Linked DNA regions of Struthio camelus. The protein of the gene in region 1 purifies or fractionates together with the protein of each later gene. This does not show direct contact. Links are inferred from orthologs where the notes say so. Each region holds a gene or a part of one and is shown on either strand. Other genes may lie near its edges.

Evidence for each region. Proteins that work in one complex are often made in the same cells at the same time.
Region 2: the proteins of CD2BP2 (region 1) and DHX38 purify together in Homo sapiens (affinity purification with mass spectrometry; 3 studies listed by BioGRID and IntAct, counting the BioPlex papers as one, with this or other methods). This does not show direct contact. The link is inferred for Struthio camelus from reciprocal best matches to the Homo sapiens genes CD2BP2 and DHX38.

The regions. Positions count from the first base shown.
Region 1 is NC_090973.1:156,522-164,100, reverse strand, and holds the start of CD2BP2 (CD2 antigen cytoplasmic tail-binding protein 2), read left to right. Parts: upstream 1-4,375; 5' UTR 4,376-4,541; intron 4,542-5,398; 5' UTR 5,399-5,399; coding exon 5,400-5,468; intron 5,469-5,899; coding exon 5,900-6,023; intron 6,024-6,102; coding exon 6,103-6,260; intron 6,261-7,579. Other genes in the region: TBC1 domain family member 10B-like, read left to right, coding at 234-1,679. UniProt on the Homo sapiens protein: Involved in pre-mRNA splicing as component of the U5 snRNP complex that is involved in spliceosome assembly.
Region 2 is NC_090951.1:490,910-498,211, reverse strand, and holds the start of DHX38 (pre-mRNA-splicing factor ATP-dependent RNA helicase PRP16), read right to left. Parts: upstream 3,149-7,302; 5' UTR 2,975-3,148; intron 2,421-2,974; 5' UTR 2,365-2,420; coding exon 2,036-2,364; intron 1,505-2,035; coding exon 1,317-1,504; intron 1,149-1,316; coding exon 1,044-1,148; intron 617-1,043; coding exon 451-616; intron 329-450; coding exon 210-328; intron 57-209; coding exon 1-56. Other genes in the region: haptoglobin-like, read right to left, coding at 6,063-6,847, 6,981-7,055, 7,199-7,300. UniProt on the Homo sapiens protein: Probable ATP-binding RNA helicase. Involved in pre-mRNA splicing as component of the spliceosome.

The DNA of each region.
Region 1 (7,579 bases):
GGGGAGCCGTGGGGCGGCGTGGGGCGGCGCGGGGAGCCGTGGGGCGGCGCGGGGAGCCGTGGGGAGCCATGGGGCGGCAGGCGTGGGGCCGTGGGGAGCCGTGGGGCAGCGCGGGGCGGCGCGGGGAGCCGTGGGGAGCCGTGGGGAGCCGTGGGGAGCCGTGGGGCGGCAGGCGTGGGGCGGTGGGGCGGCGCGGGGCGGCGCGGGGACGCCGAGGTGCCGGCGGGCCGCAGGCGACGTCGCTGCCGGTGACGGAGGCGCTGATCGAGCGGGAGAGCGGGGCGCAGCTGCGGCGCTGGCGGGAGACGCGGGGCGAGCTGCAGCGCCCGCCGCCCCGGCGCCTGCACGGGGCCCGCGCCATCCTGGAGGAGCGGCAGCGCCGGGGGGGCCCCCCCGCCGCCCCCCCCCGCCGGGAGCCGGCGCCCGGCACGGAGGGGCGCCCGGAGCAGAGGCACCGGCTGGAGGCGCGCAAGGAGGGGTTGCACGAAGGGCAGACGTGCAAGGAGCGGTTGCACGAGGTGGAGACGTGCAAGGAGCGGTTGCACGAAGGGCAGACGTGCAAGGAGCAGTTGCACGAGGCGGAGGCGTGCAAGGAGCGGTTGCACGAGGCGGAGACGTGCAAGGAGCAGTTGCACGAGGTGGAGACGTGCAAGGAGCAGTTGCACGAGGTGGAGACGTGCAAGGAGCGGCTGCACGAGGCGGAGGCGTGCAAGGAGCGGTTGCACGAAGGGCAGACGTGCAAGGAGCAGTTGTACAAGGTGGAGACGTGCAAGGAGTGGTTGCACGAAGGGCAGACGTGCAAGGAGCAGTTGTACAAGGTGGAGACGTGCAAGGAGTGGTTGCATGAGGCGGAGACGTGCAAGGAGCAGTTGCACGAGGCGGAGACGTGCAAGGAGCAGTTGCACGAAGGGCAGACGTGCAAGGAGTGGCTGCACGAGGTGGAGACGTGCAAGGAGCAGTTGCACGAGGCGGAGACGTGCAAGGAGCAGTTGTACAAGGTGGAGACGTGCAAGGAGCGGTTGCACGAGGCGGAGACGTGCAAGGAGCGGTTGCACGAGGTGGAGACGTGCAAGGAGCAGTTGCACAAGGTGGAGACGTGCAAGGAGCAGTTGCACGAGGTGGAGATGTGCCAGGAGCGGTTGCACGAAGGAGAAGAGTGCAATGAACAATTGCACAAAGTGGAGGAGCGCCAGGAGCAATTGCACAAGACAGAAGAGCGCCAGGAGCGGCTGCACGAGGCGGAGACGTGCAAGGAGCAGTTGCACGACAAGCAGACGTGCCAGGAGCGGTTGCGCGAAGGAGAAGAGTGCGATGAACAATTGCAGGCAGCGCAGGAGCCCCAGGAGCAGCTGCCCAAAGCAGGGGAGCGCAACGAGCGCTTGCACAAGACAGAAGAGCGCCAGGAGCGGTTGCACGAGGCGGAGACGTGCAAGGAGCGGTTGCACGGGCCGGAGGGGCCCCAGGAGCGGCAGCGGGCGGCGCAGGGGTCCCGGCAGCGGCCGGCGGCCAGGGGGCTGCTGGAGAAGTGCCGGCAGCGGCTGCAGGGCAAGGGGGCGGCAGCGGCCCCCGAGAAGGCGCCATCGAAGCGGCCGGCGCGGAAGGCGGCGGCGGCGGCAGCGGCGGCACCAGGGGCGGCCGGGGACCGGGACCCCCCCGGGCGGCAGGACGCCTACTTCTGAGCCAGGTGGGAGTTGCCTCCGTCCGTCCCTCCATCCGTCCATCCCTCCCTCCATCCCTTCGTCCGTCCCTCCATCCATCCGTCCGTCCATCCCTCCGTCCCTCCCTCCATCCCTCCATCCATTCCTCCGTCCGTCCCTCCGTCCATCCCTCCCTCCATCCCTCCATCCATTCCTCCCTCCGTCCCTCCCTCCATCCCTCCATCCATCCGTCCGTCCATCCCTCCGTCCATCCCTCCGTCCATCCATCACTCTGCCCCTCCATCCCTCCATCCCTCCGTCCCTCCCTCCATCCCTCCATCCATTCCTCCCTCCGTCCGTCCATCCCTCCCTCCATCGCTCCAGCCGTCCCTCCATCTGTCCATCCCTCCGTCCCTCCGTCCGTCCATCCCTCCGTCCATCCCTCCCTCCAGACGCCCCCGGGATGGACGGCTCGGTTTGATCGGCAGCTGCCTTTGATTGACAGCTTGCTTTGATCGGCAGCTCTGGTTGACTGACAACTGCCTTTGATTGGCGGCTCCCTTCATTGGCAGCTGCCTTTGATTAATGATTCCCGCTGATTGACAGCTGCTTTTCACTGCTGGCTCCATTTGATTGACAGCTGCCATTGATTGACAGCCGCTGTGGGTGGCAGTTACCTTTGATTGACAGCTGCCTTTGATTGACAGTTGCGTGTGGTTGGCTGCCACCTTTGATTAGTGGATTGCATTGATTGACAGCTGCCTTTGATTGGCAGCTGCCGTTCATGCATGTGACCGCCGGCTTCGGAGTGACGCCCTGCCCAGCCTTTGATTGACACCCTCATTGGATTGATGGCTCCCTTTGATTGACAGGCCACCCCACCTTTGATTGACAGCTCCCCTTGATTGACAGCTCCCCATCCATCAACTCGCCGGCCTGCCTCCGGTTGACGGCTCCTGCGATTGATTGACAGCTCCTGGGATTGATCGATGGCTCCTGGGATTGATCGATGGCTCCTGGGATTGACCGCTCCTGCGATTGATTGACAGCTCCTGCGATTGATTGACAGCTCCTGGGATTGATCGATGGCTCCTGGGATTGATCGATGGCTCCTGGGATTGACCGCTCCTGTGATTGATTGATGGCTCCTGTGATAGACAGCTCCTGTGATTGATTGACAGCTCCTATGATTGACACTCCGGGCCCGGTGCCCCCCTCCCCCCCCGGGGCTGCCCGGACGCCTGGGCCCCCTCCTCCCCCCCCCCAGCGCTTATTTAACGGGACGACACTGGACCCCCCCCCCCCCGGACGCCCCTCGTTAGCGGCGGGTCGTTAGCGCCCCCCGTTCCGGGGGGGCTGCGGCTTTGTGGCTTCGTTTGAAGGAAAAAACAGCGAGACGGGGTTAACGAGGAGCCCCCAAACGAGCGGCCCGGCCCCGAGTCGTCCTTGGGGGCTGCGGGGGCGGTTTGGGGGGGCAGGAGCGGGGGGGGCTGAGGGAAACGGGGGATTTGGGGGGGGAAGGGGCGTTTTGGGGGGTCCCAGGCGGTTCGGGGGGGCAGGAGTGGGGGGGGCTGAGGGAAACGGGAGATTTGGGGGGGAAAGGGGTGTTTTGGGGGGTCCCAGGCGGTTCGGGGGGGCAGGAGCGGGGAGGGCTGAGGGAAACGGGAGATTTGGGGGGAAAGGGGCGTTTTGGGGGGTCCCAGGCGGTTCGGGGGGGCAGGAGCGGGGGGGGCTGAGGGAAACGGGGGATTTGGGGGGGAAAGGGGCGTTTTGGGGGGTCCCAGGCGGTTCGGGGGGGCAGGAGCGGGGGGGGCTGAGGGAAACGGGGGATTTGGGGGGGGAAGGGGCGTTTTGGGGGGTCCCAGGCGGTTCGGGGGGGCAGGAGTGGGGGGGGCTGAGGGAAACGGGAGATTTGGGGGGGAAAGGGGTGTTTTGGGGGGTCCCAGGCGGTTCGGGGGGGCAGGAGCGGGGAGGGCTGAGGGAAACGGGAGATTTGGGGGGGAAAGGGGCGTTTTGGGGGGTCCCAGGCGGTTCGGGGGGGCAGGAGCGGGGGGGGCTGAGGGAAACGGGGGATTTGGGGGGGAAAGGGGCGTTTTGGGGGGTCCCAGGCGGTTCGGGGGGGCAGGAGCGGGGGGGGCTGAGGGAAACGGGGGATTTGGGGGGGGAAGGGGCGTTTTGGGGGGTCCCAGGCGGTTCGGGGGGGCAGGAGCGGGGGGGGCTGAGGGAAACGGGGGATTTGGGGGGGGAAGGGGCGTTTTGGGGGGTCCCAGGCGGTTCGGGGGGGCAGGAGCGGGGGGGGCTGAGGGAAACGAGGGATTTGGGGGGGGAAGGGGCGTTTTGGGGGGTCCCAGGCGGTTCGGGGGGGCAGGAGCGGGGGGGGCTGAGGGAAACGAGGGATTTGGGGGGGGAAGGGGCGTTTTGGGGGGTCCCAGGCGGTTCGGGGGGGCAGGAGTGGGGGGGGCTGAGGGAAACGGGAGATTTGGGGGGGAAAGGGGTGTTTTGGGGGGTCCCAGGCGGTTCGGGGGGGCAGGAGCGGGGGGGGCTGAGGGAAACGGGGGATTTGGGGGGGGGGAAGGGTGGGTTTGGGGGTCTCCCAGGCGGTTTGGGGTGGTTTCAGGAGGAAATGGAGGGCTGGGGGTGGCTCGGGGTGTTGAGGGGGGTTTGGGGGGGGAAGGGAGTTTTGGGGGATCCCGGGGGAAATGGGGGTCACGTGGGGCTGGGGGGGCAGGGCCAGGGTGGGTGGGGGAGGAAATGGGGTCGCGGCCCCTTTAAGAGCTGCCCACACTGCCCGCCGGCGCTGAAGCCGCAGTCCTGCCCGGGCCGTGACGCCACTTCCGCCCTGCCGCCCGCCCTGCCCCGGAAGTGCTTCCGTCGCGGTAGCGCAGCCACCGGCGGGGCCGCGGGGTGAGCGGCCCGCGCGCGCCTTACCGGGGGTGGGGGGGTGGGGGGGGTTCATTTACATATTCAAATGAGGCACCCCGCGGCGCCCCTGGGAGCCGCCCCCTGGGGGGCGGTTTTGGGGGGGTTTGGGGCAGTTTAGGGGGCGGCCCAGAGCCCGGGGGGAGCCGGGACCCCACGGCCGAGTCGGGGAGCTTCGAGGGGTCCCCGTGGGCGGCGGCGGGTGGCGAGCGCCGCCAGTCGCCGTGGCCTGGGGGCGGGGGGGAGGGGCTTTAGTATGGGCGTGGCGAGCGCGGCTCATTTGCATATGCAAATAGGAGGTGTGTTAACGGGGGGTTAATGGGGGGGGACGATGGGGTTAAGAGCGGGCTGGTGGGGGCCTTAATGGGGGGGGGGTCAAGGGGGCTGTTAACGGGGGTTATTGGGGGCAGTTAATGAGCTGCTGGGGATTAACGGGCCTTAATGGGGCAAACGGGGGCTACTGGGGGGGAATGGGGAGCTAATGAGGGCCAGGGGGCAGTTAACGGGGGCTGCTACTGGGGGGTCACTGGGAGTCACTGGGAGCTGTTAGTGGGGGTTACTGGGGGCTGGTAATGGGGGTCACTGGGGGCTGGTAGTGGGGTGGTTACTGGGGGTCACTGGGGGCTGGTAGGGGGGGTCACTGGGGGTGACTGGGGGCTGGTAGTGGGGGGTTACTGGGGGTCACTGGGGGCTGGTAGTGGGGGGTTACTGGGGGTGACTGGGGGCTGGTAGGGGGGTCACTGGGGGCTGGTGGCGGAGGCTGTTCGTGGGGCTAACGAGGGGCCACGGGGGCGTCGCTAACGAGGGGCCGTTAACGGAGCTGCGTGCCCCCCCCCCCCCAGCATGGCCAAGCGCAAGGTGACGTTCGAGGACCCCGAGGACGAGGAGGAGCCGGGGCCCCCCCGCAAGAGGGTGAGGGGCTGGGGGGCACCGGGGGGGGCCAGGGGCTGCTGGGGGGCACCAGGGGGCTAGTGGGGGCGGCTGGGGGGCACCGAGGGGCAGCTGTGGGGCGCTGGGGGGCAGCCGAACCTGGGGACTGTGCAGGCCCCAGGACCCCTGGGTGAGCTGTGGGGCAGCTGGAGGGTGCCGGGGGGCTGGAGCTGGGGGTTGTGGGGGCCCCAGGGGCTGGGGGGCTGCCGTGGGGGGGGCGTGGGTCGCCGTGGGTCACGGTGGGGCTGACCCACACGGGGGGCGGGGGCCGTGGGTCATGGCGGGGGTCACGGTGGGGCTGACCCACGCAGGAGGCGGGGGCTGTGGGGGGCCGGGGGTCACGGTGGGGCTGACCCACGCAGGAGGCGGGGGCCGTGGGGGGCCGGGGGTCACGGTGGGGCTGACCCACGCAGGAGGCGGGGGCCGTGGGGGGCCCCGGGAGCCGGTTCCCGGGGAAGCACTCGCTGGACAGCGACGAGGAGGACGAGGCCGAAGGCAGCAGCAAGTACGACGTGCTGGCGCCCCACGACGTGGAGGGTGAGCGGGGCGCCGGGGGTCGCCGTGGGGCGGCGGGGGGTGGCCGGGGGTCGCCGTGGGGCGCTGACCCCCGTCTCAGGGCAGGAGGCGGCGACGCTGGAGGCCGAGGGCGGGGTGCCCGTCACCCCCTTCAACCTGCAGGAGGAGATGGCCGAGGGGCACTTCGACTCCGAGGGCAACTACTTCCCGCGGCGCGAGAAGCTGCTCCGGGACAGCTGGCTGGACAACATCGACTGGGTGAGGGGGGACACGGGGACCTGGGGGACACCAGGGACGGGCTGGAGAACCTCGATGGGACATGGGGACACAGCAGGGTGCAGGGACATGGGGGACACCAGGGACAGGCTGGAGAACCTCAATGGGACATGGGGACACAGTGGGATGCAGGGACATGGGGGAACACCAAGGACAGGCTGGAGCACCTCAATGGGACGTGGGGGACATGGTGGAGGATGCCAGGGATAGCTTGGAGCATCTCAATGGGACGTGGGGGACATAGTGGAGGACATGGGGACAGGCTGGAGCACCTCAATGGGACGTAGGGGACACAGGGGACGGGCTGGAGCACATTAATGGGACGTGGGGGACATGGTGGGGGACACCGGGGACGGGCTGGAGCACCTCAACGGGACGTGGGGGACACCAAGGACAGGCTGGAGCACCTCAATGGGACATGGGGGACGTGGTGGAGGACATGGGGACAGGCTGGAGCACCTCAACGGGACGTGGGGGACGTGGTGGAGGACATGGGGACAGGCTGGAGCACCCCAACGGGACGTGGGGGACACCAAGGACAGGCTGGAGCACCTCAATGGGACATGGGGGACATGGTGGGGGACACCGGGGACGGGCTGGAGCACCTCAACGGGACGTGGGGGACATGGTGGAGGACATGGGGACAGGCTGGAGCACCTCAACGGGACGTGGGGGACACCAACGACAGGCTGGAGCACCTCAATGGGACGTGGGGGACATGGTGGAGGACACCGGGGACGGGCTGGAACACCTCAATGGGACGTGGGGGACATGGTGGGGGACACCGGGGGACGGGCTGGAGCACCTCAACGGGATGTGGGGGACATGGTGGAGGACACTGGGGACGGGCTGGAGCACCTCAATGGGACGTGGGGGACATGGTGGGGGACACCGGGGGACGGGCTGGAGCACCTCAACGGGACGTGGGGGACATGGTGGAGGACATGGGGACAGGCTGGAGCACCTCAATGGGATGTGGGGGACACCGGGGACGGGCTGGAGCACCTCAACGGGACGTGGGGGACGTGGTGGAGGACACCGGGGACGGGCTGGAGCACCTCAACGGGACGTGGGGGACATGGTGGAGGACACCGGGGACGGGCTGGAGCACCTCAACGGGATGTGGGGGACATGGTGGGGGACACCGGGGGATGGGCTGGAGCACCTCAACGGGACATGGGGGACATAGTGGAGGACATGGGGACGGGCTGGAGCACCTCAAGGGGACGTAGGGGACACCGGGGACGGGCTGGAGCACCTCAACGGGACATGAGGGACATAGTGGAGGACATGGGGACAGG
Region 2 (7,302 bases), on another chromosome or scaffold:
CTGCCGCTCCTCCTCCGTCTCAAAGGCAATGCCCTCTTCCCCATCTTCACGCCGCCCTAGAGAAAGCAAACTAGTCAATATAGGCCCCCCAGCCCTACCCCACTGCCACTTGTGGAGGGAATCCCACAGAACCTTTCCTTATGCTGTAGAGGGTGAAGAGGAGGATTAAGCCATTCCCCAGCATAGCAGCCCAGCCCCAGGCTCCTCACCTTTACCTCTGGACAGCCGTGGCGTGGCCCCCAAGTGTCTCCGGTCATCAGCCCACTCATTATATTTGTACGATGGGGTGGGCAACGGCGTCTTATCCCAGTACCTGCTCCTCACAGACCTGAGGAAACAGCACGAGGGAAAAATTAATGCCGACAGCCAGGTACTGCTCTTGCACGTGCCCTTCCTTCTTCTGCAGATCACCAACTCATAGCCACGGTCCTTTGTTCCAGGTTCTGATACCTGTCCCGATCTCTTCGATCTGTGTCTCGCAAGGACGACGCCCTGTGGCTGCGCTCAGAGTCCCGATAGGAAGACACAGGCGATGGAGATTCCCACTGTGAGCGGCGGGTACTGCTGTAACCACTATCATCCTCCTCCCAGCTGGAGCGAGATGGTGTGGCTGAATCTAGAAGAGATGGGGTTTGACATCTGATGCTCGCACAGTGAGCCAGGGCACCTGGCACTGGTGTCACCTTACACCTTTTAGCAAGGAGCACGGAGACAGAGTACCCGTTCGCTCTCCCTCTAAGAGATAAGAGATGGACCTGACCCAGTAAGTCAAAGGAAAACGGACAGAGGACCATATCCTTATCACACAGACCCAGAAGAGCTCCCCAGAGGGCTGGGATCAGGCAGACTTCCACACACAACTGGCAGGATCACTCCCAGGCCCACGTCCAGGAAAAGCTAGTAGCTTTACGCTTGCCCTAACCACAGACCTTAGAAAATACAGACATTTTTACCCACGCTTGCCCAGGTAAAAAGAGCAGCAACCCAAAAAAGGAATGTAACCCTTCCCATTAAGGCAGTGTCCCACTAGGTCGCACTCCTACCTTTCGGTCTGTGTCTCGGACTCTCTGGTTCACTCCTCCTGCTGCTCCGCTCTGATGAGCCATCCCTTTCTGATCTGCTGCTGTGACGACTTTTGTCCCGCTCCTCTGTGGACAGAGGATAAGATAGGTAAGATTAGGTGCTCACTGCACAAGCAGGCTTCCCAAGTCTGCCCTAGAGAACATCCTAAAGATTACTCAAAGACTACAAAGATGCTGAGGAACGGGCCCAAAGGCTCTAAGCAGGAAGAGTCACAAAGATCTTAGAGCAGTTACCTCGGTCCCGTTTACGGTCATGGTCCCGATCCCTACTGCGTTCCTTCTTTCGTTCCTTCTCCTCCTTAGAGGAAGCAAAGACACCTTGCTCCCGACGCTCCCTTTCCCGCTGCCGGCTGCGTTCCCAAAACTCCTCACTCACACCCCCTGTGTAGGAAGGTGTCTCCACGTGGGCAGAACGGTAATGCCTGGGGAGTCAGAGCGGAGAGAAGAAGAGTGCTGAGGAATAGCTGGCCCTTGACTTGCCTTCATGCAACTCTAGTCCTAGTCTCTGCTACAGCAGGAGTGTGCAGCCAGAAATGCTCTCCCCATCCTTTTCTAACAGCCCAGCAGGTCTGTTCCTGTTTTCAGCTATGAGCAGACCGCAGCCTCCACAGACACAGAGCCAGCCAGTCACATGGATAGGATGACTGGCTTTTTCAGGCCTAACAGCACTCATGAACGCTCCGGGCTCTGACGTCTCAAGGAAGGCACCAGCAAAAAGCCTTTCCCAGACCTTCTCAGACCTGCAGAACTGTTCTACAGGCCTCTGCCGAGGAGACCTCCAGACCTCCTTGCCATGCAGGCACCTGCTTGTCACAGAGCTTGGCCCCCGCAGACACGGAGCAACTGCACATCGCCACAGAGCACGCTCGCGTTCGGTCCTCCCAGCGGGGGCCCCGCGGCTGCTAAACGCCCGGTGCCCCCAGCAGCCCCAGAGACCCCCAGGCAGCCCCTACCTGTCTTTGCGGCCGCTCCGACTGCTTGGGTCGCTCTCCTCCTCTTCGTCGTCCTCCTCCTCGGCGGGGCTGCCCGCCTCGTCCCGGCCCTCCTCCCAGTCCCTGTAGGAGGACACGCGGGAGCGCTTCCCGCCGGCCTCCTCCTCGCGCTCCCGCCGCTTCTGGGCTGCCAGCACGTCCAGGCCCAGCAGGGAGGCCCGCGGCGCCGGCGCCTTGAAGACGTGCTGCTCGGCAGCGGCGCTCCGCTTCCGCACGACCAGCCCGCCGGCCTCGCCGTCCGCGCTCGTCCCCGCCAGCCGGTGCAGCGACTCCTCGCCCGCCTCGCCCATCGCCGCTACCACGCCGCAAGGGGCCGGGCGGCCGGGCCGCGGTCGGCACCCATGGGCTGCGGGGCACGGCTCAGCGGGGGTAGCGCCGCCGGCCGCCTCCCCCGGGCCGGACCGGACCCCGCTCTCCTCCCCAGCCCCGCCGCCTCCCCCGGGCCGGGCCGGCCGGGCCCCGCTCCCCTCCCCGGCCCCGCTCCGCTCCCCGGCCCCGCTCCCCTCCCCGGCCCCCCTCCGCTCCCCTCCCCGGGCCCGCTCTCCTCCCCGGCCCCGCTCCCCTCCCCGGCCCCCCTCCGCTCCCCTCCCCGGGCCCGCTCTCCTCCCCGGCCCCGCTCTCCTCCCCGGCCCCCCCTCCGCTCCGCTCCCCGGCCCCCCTCCGCTCCGCTCCCTGGCCCCGCTCCCCTCCCCGGCCCCCCTCCGCTCCGCTCCCCGGCCCCGCTCTCCTCCCCGGCCCCCCTCCGCTCCGCTCCCCGGCCCCGCTCCCCTCCCCGGCCCCCCTCCGCTCCGCTCCCCGGCCCCGCTCCCCTCCCCGGCCCCGCTCTCCTCCCCGGCCCCCCTCCGCTCCGCTCCCCGGCCCCGCTCCGCTCCCCTTCCCTCCCCGGCCCGGCCCCCACACCTGCCGGCAGTTGCCTCAGCGACCGCAGGCCAGCGCCCTGAGCGCCGCCATTGCCGCCCCACAGTGCTCCGCGAGAAGAGCCGCTCTAGCCCACGCGCACCATCGACGTGCCAGCCGGGGCCCGGCCGCACCACCTACCATAGAGTTCAAGGGTGGCTAGACAGCACGCGCCACAGGGAGGCCAGCGCACTTCCGGCGTAGGGAAACGTGCGTGAGGTCACGTGGCCGCGGGCGGGAGCGAGAAGGGGGCGGAGCCGCACGGGGGGCGGAGCCGCACGGGGGGCGGAGCCCGGAGACCGGCGGGGACATCCCACGGACCCACACGGGGGGGACCCCCATGGACCCACACGAAGGGATCCCGGAGACCCACACGGGGGGATCCCACGGACCCACAGGGAGAGGTGCGCTGCTAGACCTTGTACTAACAAACAAACAAGGTCCGGTTGGAGACGTGAAGGTTGGGGGCAGGCTGCAGTGACCATGAGGTGGTGGAGTTCAGGATCCTGCAAGGAGAGAGCAGGGCAATAAGCAGGATCGCAACCCTGGACTTCAGGAGAGCCAACTGTGGCCTCTTCAGGGCCCTACTTGGAGGAGTCCCATGGGATAAGGCCCTAGAAGGAAGGGGGGTCCAGGAGAGCTGGTTAACATTCAGTTATCACTTCCAGCAGGTTCAAGACGGGTGCATCCCTCTGAGTAAGAAGTCGAGCAAAGAGGGCAGGAGACCTGCATGGATGAGTGAGGAACTCCTGACAAAAGTCCAACAGAAGAAGGAAGTGTACAGAATGTGGAAAAGGGGACAGGCCACTTGGGAGGAATACAGGGACGTTGTCAGAGTGTGCAGGGATGCGACAAGGAAGGCTAAGGCCCAGTTGGAATTAAATCTGTCAAGGGATGTCAAGGACAACAAGAAGGGGTTCTTCAAATACATCAATAGCACAAGGAAGACTAGGGAAAACGTGGGCCTGCTGCTGAATGGGGCGGGTGCCCTGGTGACAGAGAAGGCAAGAAGGCAGAGCTGCTGAATGCCTTCTTTGCTTCAGTCTCTCCTGCTAAGGCCAGTCCTGAGGAATTCCAGACCCTGAGGACAAGAGAGGAAGTCTGGAGAAAGGAAGACTCTCCCTTGGTCAAGGAGGATCAGGTTAGAGATCATTTGTGGAAACTTGACATCAACAAATCCATGGGCCCCAATGGGATGCACCCACAAGCGCTGAGGAAACTGGCAGATGTTATTGCTAGGCCACTCTTCATCATCTTGGAAAGGTCCTGGAGAACAGGAGAGGTGCCTGAGGCCTGGAAGAAAGCCAGTGTCATGCCAGTCTTCCCAAAGGGCCAGAAGGAGGAGCCAGGAAACTACAGGCCTGTCAGCCTCACCTGCATCGCTGGAAAGGGGATGGAACAACTCATCTTGGAGGTCCTCCCCCAAGCATGAGGAGGACAAGCAGGTGATCAGGAGTAGTCAGCATGGCTTCACCAAAGGGGAATCATGCTTGACCAATCTGATAGCCTTCTCTGATGGGATGACTGGCTGGGTAGATGAGGGCAGAGCAGTGGATGGTGTCTACCTGGACTTCAGCGAGGCTTCTGACACTGTCTCCCATCCCATCCTCCTAGGTAAACTCAGAAAGCGTCGGTTGGCTGAGTGGACAGTGAGGTGGATTGAGAACTGGCTGGATGACAGAGCTCAGAGGGTTGTGGTCAGTGGTGCAGCCTAGTTGGAGCCCTGTAGCTAGCGGTGTCCACCAGGGGCCAGTACTGGGTCCACTCTTGTTCAATGTGTTCATCAATGACCTGAGTGAAGGGACAGAGTGCCTCCTCAGCAAGTTTGCTGATGATACTAAACTGGGAGGAGTGGCTGACACACCAGGAGGCTGTGCTGCCATTCAGAGGGACCTGGACAGGCTGGAGAGTTGGGCAGAGAGGAAACTCATGAAGTTCAACAAAGGCAAGTGCAGGGTCCTGCACCTGGAGAGGAATAACCCCATGCATCAGGAGAGGTTGGAGAGGAATAACCCCAGGCACCAGGACAGGACACACCTGCTGGAAAGCAGCTCTGCAGAGAAGGACCTGGGAGCCCTGGTGGACAACAAGTTAAGCATGAGCCAGCAGTGTGCCCTTGCAGCCAAGAAGGCCAATGGGATCCTGGGCTGCATGGGGCAGAGTGTTGCCAGCAGGTGGAGGGAGGTGATCCTGCCCCTCTCCTCAGCCCTGGGGAGGCCTCACCTGGAGTACTGTGTCCAGTTCTGGGCTCCCCAGTGCAAGAGAGACATGGCACTGCTGGAGAGAGTCCAGCAGAGGGCTGCAAAGATGAGGAGGGGACTGGAGCATCTCTCACGTGAGCAAAAGGCTGAGAGAGCTGGGCCTGTTCAGCCTGGAGAGAAGGCTGAGGGTATATGAGATGTATTGTATACAATATGAGATGTATACAAGTGTCTGAAGGGAGGGTGTCAAGAGGATGGGGCCAGGCTCTTCTCTGTGGTGCCCAGCGACAGGACAAGAGGCAACGGGCACAAACGGAAACACAGGAAGTTCTGTCTGAACACGAGGAAGAACTTCTTTCCTGTGAGGGGGACAGAGCACTGGAACAGGTTGCCCAGAGAGGTTGTGGGGTCTCCTTCCCTGGAGATATTCAAAACCCACCTGGACATGATCCTGGGCAACGTGCTCTAGAGGACCCTGCTTGAGCAGAGGGGTTGGACTAGATGATCTCCAGAGGTCCCTTCCAACCTCAACCATTCTGTGATTCTGTGATCCCACTGACCCACACAGGGGCGATCCTGGAAGATCCACATGGGGGGGGGGGATCCCACAGACCCACACAGGGGTGATCCTGGAGACCCACATGGGGGGGGAATCCCATCGAGCCATGTGGGGGGATCCCACAGACTCACGGTGGGGGAAAAGGGGCACCCCACGTGCACCCCAGAGGCAGGGACACACACACAGCCCTGGGTGCAGTGTACACACACACGCATGCACGCGCACACCCCCCCCCACAGACACATAGGTGCAGCATGCACACACACGTGTGCGTGCAGCGCAGGGAGGCAGCGACAGAGGCACCGGAGCCGTTGGCGAGGCGCGGGGTGGTTTATTGCGGGCTGGCAGCCCCGGCCCCATCGTCGGCCAGGGTCTGCTTCACCCAGTCGAGGACGTGCTCCACGCTGACGTAGACGCCATACTTGGAGGCCGAGCAGGTCTTGTCGTAGCTGAGGATGCCGGCGGCGTACCAGGTGTCGTCCTCGGGGTCCCGCACGGCGAACGCCCCGCCGGCGTCCCCGTAGCACGTGTCCTCCCGCAGCTCGCTCATGCCCACGCAGAAGGTGTGCTTGCTGAGGAGGGGCGGCACGCCGTGGGGTCCCCGGGCCGCGTAGTACTCTGCGCACTTCTCGCTCTCCGCCACCGGCAGCATCACGTACTTCAGCAGGTCTGAGAAGGCGAAGGTGGCCCCGCGGCCCCAGCCCGCCACATAGCCCACCCGCCCTGGCTGCAGGTAGTCCTTCTGCGCCAGGCAGATGGGCATCACCTCCTCTCCCAGCAGCACCTTCTCCTTGAGCTTGAGCAAGGCCAGGTCCACGGCCTTGGGGTACTCGGGGTGCAGCACGATGCGCTCCACCCGCGGGGCGAGCTGCTCCTTGCCGCCCAGGAAGAGCTGCAGCGTGGGGGCGATCTCGGCCGGGTCGGCGTCCGCGCTGTGGTTCAGGTAGACGTTCCTGCCGGTGGTCAGCAGCCACTGGTCGCTGATGAGCGTGGCCCCCACGGTGAGGTTGTGGCGCGTCACCAGCCGGCCCTGCCAGGGGAAGCTGCCCTTGCCGGCCAGCAGGCCCCCGATGATGCGCTGCGTCTGCGTGGCCGGGTGCGCCGGCTTCCCGCACACTGCCGAGGAGGACGAGGCCCCGTGAGCCCCCGCCGCTCGCCCCAGGGGCGCCTGGCGGCCCCGGCGCAGGGGGCTCCTGCTGCAGGCAGCCCGGCTGCGGCAGCCCCTAGCCCGCCAGCCCAGGCCGCTCACCCGGCTCGCAGACGGGCAGCTCCTCTCCGGCCTCGGCGTTCACCCACACGTGCTTCTCGTGGCACTCGTACGTGCCTGCAGAGGCAGGAGGGGGTCGGCGCCCGGCCGCAGCGGGGCGCCGGGGCCGGGGCCCGGCAGGCGCAGGCGGCCCAGCGCGGGCGGCAGCGGCGCGCCGCCCGACCCGGCGAGGGGTGGGGGCCCGGGGCCGCGCTCCTCACCGTCGCCGGAGCTGCGCAGCTGGTAGTAGGGGTCGCAGCGGTACCTGACCAGGTGCTCCACGCGGCCGTGCTCGATGGCCGCCGGCTTGGCGCAGCTCGACGCT